Linked DNA regions of Coturnix japonica. The protein of the gene in region 1 purifies or fractionates together with the protein of each later gene. This does not show direct contact. Links are inferred from orthologs where the notes say so. Each region holds a gene or a part of one and is shown in the gene's direction. Other genes may lie near its edges.

Region 1 (3,710 bases):
CAGGAAAACCTTCTAAATGTTTTCATTTCTGGAAAGAAATATGGTTTGGAGTATGCAGTTTTATTAGGGAAGGTTTCAGGTCACTATTAAATCTCCGAGCTTAATAGGGCCCTCATTTTCCTGTTCTAAAAACAAGGTATGATTTATAAAGTTTAAATTAACACTTGCCTTTGAACAGTCAAAGCAAGTTATTGGGTTACTGAGAAACAAAGCGGACATCTTAAGGAATTCACCAGGGGTGCACGTGTGATGCACGGCTGTTATTTGTGCGGGCTCCACGCCGTGCCTGAAACGTGGCCACGGTTTGTCTTGCCTGGTTTGTCCTTGAGATCTTGTTGTTCTGTTGTGTGAAGTCCTCAGGACAGTGGGGCAGCCAGAGGTGCGGGCCTTGGGGGGGATCTAAGTGGGATGATTGGGGTCAAACCTTGCATGTTTCCATCCCACCGCCTCATATTTTAGCCTGCTCTTAGGTGTTTCGTGGAGCAGGACTGGCTTCAAATCCTCAAATACCAGATATAGTGCTTTGTGGATCTCGGTCACAAGATGTTACCACCTCAGCTTTTTGGTAGCTGAGGACATGGCACTGCAGACTGGCTGGAGGCTGCTGGCCATGAGGCTGAAGAAGTCACCAGGACAAAACTTTGCAATCAAATGCTATTCTAATCAACAGAATTAGGCCCCAGTGTGGAACAAAAGGGGAGTTTTGGATAACATGGTATCTTTGTAAAGATATCTTGAGGGTAAATGTGAGCATAGAAAGATTTTGGAGTTTAGCCCCGAATGGTTTCAGCATGCGTTAAGTTTATGTTGCAGCCTTTAGCTGATGAGAGTGGCTCAGCATTTAGAAAATACAAACAACAGCAGCAAATGATTCATGGAGCTGCTGATAGGAGCTGGGCTCTAACGAGCAGCTCTCTGAAATTGCTTCCATCTTCTGTCGCATGTGCCATGAGCTCATGGTTTCTCTCCAGCCCATGGTTGGTAGGCGACTACATCGCCAATAAAAGTGACTGAAACCACTTGCAATGGGGCTGAGAGGGAGGTTGGGTGTTTTGGCTGTGCTGCATCACACCTGGGCTGCATCTTGGGGTGGCTTTTGGGGGAATACTGTGAAGGAGCTGGGGCAGCCTGTGCTGGGCTCCCTGCAATGCAGAGGGCGTTTGCCTGTCTGGGAAAGGCCCTTTAAAGAATGAATTGGGATGAGGGAGGTTGTTCGATAGCAACTTAATGAGGAGTTGTTTGGAGTCTGACAGTGTGAGTGCTGAATGGGAGCAAGGTGAAAGAGCAGCCAAAGAGACCCAGTAAAAATTGAAACAAACTGCGACCCGGCGGGACCAGAGTCCAGCAGCAATTAGAGTAATGCGACGTGACAGAATTCCTGCTTGCTTTCTGGGGTGTTTTATTCCAGCAATAAGTTGATACATCACATGGGACTCCTGTTTATTTAGCATTCCTCTCCATCACCTCTGTGCAGCTCTCAGCTGTGCAGGGCTGTGAGGATAATTTACCACCGCATCCACAATGTGGGGTTTGTGTCTCGCACCGCATGGCCCCAGCTGATTCTTTGGGGGGTGAAATGGTGGCTCTGGCCAACTCTCTCCATTGGCAGGTGTGCCCCGGCTCCTTGGGGTTTTGGTAATACTAACCTGGATGTTTTCCAGAGCCCAAAGGATAAAACCCAGAAGCTGTGCATTGAGCCCAGCACTGAGCTAACCAGGCAGGAAGGTGTAGGCTGGATTGGGTGTGCTCTGGCTGCTCTTGGATCCCACACTGAACTCTGGTGTTTGGGGCTGGGTTGAATTGATCTTCCTGTGTGAATGAAGTCCTCACGCTGCTGCCCATGTGTTTGCCATGTTCCCCAGCACCCTGCAGTCTTGGAGCCGTTAGGGTTTGGCTTCCTTAGCGAGGGCTGGCATTTCTCTTGGTGCTCAGCCAGTGTCTGCACCATCAGGGTATACTGATTTGACAGACAACGAGTGACAGCTGCTCAGAGATGCTGATGGTAGTTCTCGAGCTGCTCCTTTGCATTTGCCTATTTATTTATTTATTTATTTCAATGACCTTTTTAGTGCACATTCCCCATTGCTTCCTTGGGAACAGAATGAAGGATCTGTGAGTAATGAGTGTGTCTTAAAGGGAACTGAGTGTTTTATTTGGGCTATAGCTGAAAGCAGATGATATCTTGAACTGCTTTAACAACCCACAAGCATCCAGCTTGTGAAATGCCTTCCATTTGTGGAGCTGTACTACTGCCAGCTTGGTGGAGGAGCGGAGGTGAAGCAGAGCTGTGCTCAGGCTCTGGCCTGGCAGGAGGAGGACGATGTGACATGTCTGTGCTGTGACTCTCTGCAGGCTCTGACCACATCCGTGAGAAGGATGGGCTCTGGGCTGTCCTGGCCTGGCTGTCCATCCTGGCTGCCCGCAAGCAGAGCGTGGAGGACATCATGAAGGATCACTGGCAGAAGTATGGCAGGAACTTCTTCACCAGGTGAGGAAGTGCTCCGGGCACCTCGTCCTTCTGTCCGCCCTGTGGCCGACCAAGGATGAGCCCTTGTGGAGGAGCTCAGTAACCTGAGCATCAGCAGCACCAGCCTTGCTACCACAGCAGTTTCTGCCTTGTTGCACTTGCTCTTTCTGTGGAGTTTCAGTGGTTTGAGGCTCCCTGTCTGGTTTGTGCAGCTTCTCTGGGTCCAATAAACCTGTGGGTATTCACCTTAACCTTTCATGGCGTCCAGTTTAGAATTTGTTACTCTGAATACAATTTATTCAGTATCAAACTCTGTGAAGGTTGTGCAATTCTTATATCCAATAGGTAAGCTTTTTTGTTTTTTATTTAATAGAGATCTTTTCTTGCAAGAATTTTTCCTGCTTTTAGAACAGTCTGCTTCTTTAGTTTACATCATACAAATCGGTTTGTAATATCTTGAGTGATGGCTTTGCCTCACTGAATGGGCACCCAGCTCCTGGGCAGCTTTTTACCTGGTTGGATTTCTTTCCAGTTCCAAAATACTCTTTAATTTACTCTACTATAGACACAGGAGATGAAAAAGCAGAACTGACCTGCACTGAGCAGAAGAGGGGGATGCTACCTGCAGTGAGAGCAGGAGGTAGAAATCTTTCACTTTGGCAGACCTCTGTGAAATTTCTGTTTCCAATTGCCAAATGTAAGAACCTGCCTTTTCCTTTTTATTATTTCCATCCTACAAAGCCAGCATACATCTAAGGCATTTAAAGCTACGGAAAAAATGCCAAAATCTAGTATAAAAAGGTAGTCTTCAAGCACCAGAGGTATGTCTGCATAGCAGGCTGGGTGCAGTGGCAGGCCACTAACAAGCCTGTGCATGCTCTGTCTGGCTAGGTGTGCAAATCACACTGGCAATCGGAGTACCAGGTCTCAGGTCCTCGTCTGTGCATGTGCTGGAGTGGCTGCTCTTTCTGCTTCTCTTACTTACGTTAGCTAGATCAGAGCTGGCACTGACTGTTATCATATGCTGCAATCACACCTTTGCTTTGCTGTGGGGACACACTGAGGTGCTCAGGCAGAACTGTTATCAATCAAGAGGAGCCTGTTGAGATCCTATCAGAGGAATTGGGATAAATGCTTTACAGCCAGTGTTGCTGGAATCTGGTCCTCCATCTACCTCAGTCTTAGATGTATCTGAGATAGGTTGCTGTGTATCCCACAGATTAGTGCTGCACCCACATACCGC
Region 2 (2,871 bases), on another chromosome or scaffold:
ATTGTGAGGGCTCCTGGGATACAGAGTCAGGTTGATTTGACTGTTGTGGACAGGCACTGTCCCTGCCCAGGGCTGTGTCCGTGTGTCCAGCCCCAATGGGATGGATGTGCAGATGACTGTGGGGACTTGCCTGACTGGAGCTGTGCAAGCCCATCTTCCTGTTTTTTTTCCAGAGGGGCTGTGGTGAACCAAGAAGATTTGTATGATGCATTAGTCAGTGGCCAAATTGCAGCTGCAGGCCTGGATGTCACAACGCCGGAGCCACTGCCCACCGACCACCCTCTGCTCAAACTCAAGAACTGTGGTGAGTGGTGTGTTTGGCTGCCCTGGTCCCTGCCCTGCCCCCTCCTGCTTGGAGAGCCGTCTCCGTTGTCAAGGCAGAGGACCTGCTGGCTAATTTCCTTGGGGGCCTGCAGATGGTGAACAAGAGCTTCAGTGTTTGTGGCAGAAAGGAAGGTCGTGCATTTAAGCAGCTTCTAGGCAACAGTTGTGCTATGTGGAGAGTCAGTGCAAGATAAAATAATCTTGGGAGATATTTCAGTAGTCCAGAAAGCAATTGAGACTGGCTTGTCTTTTAACATCTTTCAGATGGATCTGCATTCCGTAATCTCGGTCACAGGCAAGGCAGATCTGGAGGCAGAAATGGAACACAGTGGAAACACTGGTTTCTAAGCAAAGAGTAACTCTGGTTGTTGGCAGCTCTGTTGCTGTTAGCATGGCAGGGTGCCTGTTCCTACCTAGCCATCCATGCTTCATCTGGGCAATCTCCTGTGCTCTGAGCCGATGGACAACATCCTCTTGTGCACCTGAGTGCTTGGTTTGGTCATGCTGCAACCTAAATCTGAAACCCTGTGCATATGCCTTCATCTGAAGGACCAAAATTCTGCATGAGGGTGCAGAAGGCAGCAAGATTCCTCTGTTAAGGAAGGACATTTTTATATGAGGAAAAATCTCTTCAGTAGACAAACTGTTGGGAGGTCAATGGGGAAAGTGTGGTTGTGCCCATGACTGGATGTCCATTTCTGAAATAGTAGAATCACACGATCATTAAGGTTGCAAAAGACCACTAAGATTAGCACCTCCAACCATCAACCCATCCCCACCAAACCACGTCACTCAGTCCCACATCACCATGTTTTTTTAACACTTGCAGGGAAGGTGACTCTGCCACCTGCCTTGGCAACCTGTTCCACTTCATTTCTGAGAAGTTTGTCCTAATATCCAACCTGAACCTCCCCTGGCACAACTTGAAGCCATCACCCCTCATCTTGTTACCTGGGAGCAGAAGCCAATTCCCACCTCCCTCACTCAGCAGTGTGTCAGGTTTTTGTGTTTCCACCCTCCCCACAGGTGCTGTCTGTTTTAAAATGGACAGAGACTGCAGTGCAGTCTTTTCTCTAGCTTGGGCAAGTACCCAGCCATTGCTGATGTACTAATCATGCCATTAAAGCAGCTTTGGCGTGGTTCTTACCATTACCTAAAAGGAGTGGGTTGCATTTTGCTGGTGTCAGAGTAATGGCACAGGTTGCCCAGAGAGGTTGTGGAGATCTCCATCCTCAGAGATCACCAAAAGCTGCCTGGATGTGGGCCTGGACAGCCTGCCCTGCCCTGACCATGCCATAGCTCTGCACTCTGTAGGGGCTGTTGGCCATCACACGTACCTTTCCAGCACACCCAGGAGCCTGCAGGTCCCAATATCCTGAGCAGTTCTCAGGCTGTTGCCCCAGTATGCATTGGTTTGTACCTGTACGAGAGTGGAGGTGTGCAGTAATGAGGCCACAGTGTGAGATTTTCTGCATGTTTCTCTGTCATCTGCCACGCATTGTGTCTGTGCAGGGAGCTGAGTACCAAGTCTGGATGTGGAAAGGAGGAGCACTGCTGCCTGCTGGCCTTCACCCATAGATGGGTTAGTTTGGATTGTCTGTCAGATGTGACCCTTTCTTTGCCCACAGTGATCCTGCCACACATCGGGAGTGCCACCTATGCGACACGGAGCACCATGGCTGTGCTGGCTGCTGACAACCTGCTGGCTGGCCTGCGGGGCGAGCCTATGCCCCACGAGCTGCTGCTGTGAGGGCTGGACCAGCATCACCACCAGGTCACCGTGAGGGATGCAGCATCGTGTGCCAGCCTGGGGTAGTGGGCAGGTGGGTCCTGTGCCCCTGCTCTGCAAGTGAGGAGTCAACAGCATCCATGGCAAGAGAACTGCACCATAGCAATTAAAGAGAAGCAGTGACAGTGGTGTGTGCCTTTCACTTGGGAAGGAGACGCCTCCAGCCATTGGTGTCTCAAGTGCTTGTAAATGGGGGAGATAAATGCTGGTGCGTGAGTGTGAGGTGGCCCCTCAGCTCTGCTCTGGAGCTCTCAGTTCTCATCCAGAATCACAGCATCACTGAACTGTTAAGGTTGGAAAAAGACCCTAAGATCCCCAAGGCCAACCCAGCCCACCCTCACTGTGCCCACTGACCTCGTCTGCATTATAGCATCTATTACTGTAGGAATAGACCTCTAAGATCAAAAAGTGCATTCCCTGCACACAGCCACCCTGTTACTGAGTGCAACGTGCTGAGGGCCCACCAGAGCTTAGTCTTGTCCCAGCTCCCAGTGAGTGCTCACAGCTGGCTGTCTCAGTGACCATGCCTTCATCTTCCCCATCTGTGACACATGGATGAGGATGAGGGCAGCTCTGCTTACATTCTTTTACTGTACCAATTCATCTGTGTCACTCATTTCCTCTCTTCCCTGGCCCGTACCCACCCAAGTCCAGCAGACACTGACCAGGATCTTCTAGACAGCCCATATAGGGAGGGTTCAGTGTTGAACGTTTTGCTGTTACACAGCACTTTGCACTGAAATTGCTGTGCATACACA

Evidence for each region. The genes of interacting proteins can lie anywhere in the genome.
Region 2: the proteins of PGM1 (region 1) and GRHPR fractionate together in Homo sapiens (co-fractionation; 3 studies listed by BioGRID). This does not show direct contact. The link is inferred for Coturnix japonica from reciprocal best matches to the Homo sapiens genes PGM1 and GRHPR.

Annotation. Positions count from the first base shown.
Region 1 is NC_029523.1:25,079,002-25,082,711, forward strand, and holds part of PGM1 (phosphoglucomutase-1), read left to right. Parts: intron 1-2,352; coding exon 2,353-2,488; intron 2,489-3,710. UniProt on the Homo sapiens protein: Catalyzes the reversible isomerization of alpha-D-glucose 1-phosphate to alpha-D-glucose 6-phosphate. The mechanism proceeds via the intermediate compound alpha-D-glucose 1,6-bisphosphate.
Region 2 is NC_029547.1:66,763,198-66,766,068, reverse strand, and holds the end of GRHPR (glyoxylate reductase/hydroxypyruvate reductase), read left to right. Parts: intron 1-173; coding exon 174-304; intron 305-1,952; coding exon 1,953-2,074; 3' UTR 2,075-2,238; downstream 2,239-2,871. UniProt on the Homo sapiens protein: Enzyme with hydroxy-pyruvate reductase, glyoxylate reductase and D-glycerate dehydrogenase enzymatic activities. Reduces hydroxypyruvate to D-glycerate, glyoxylate to glycolate, oxidizes D-glycerate to hydroxypyruvate.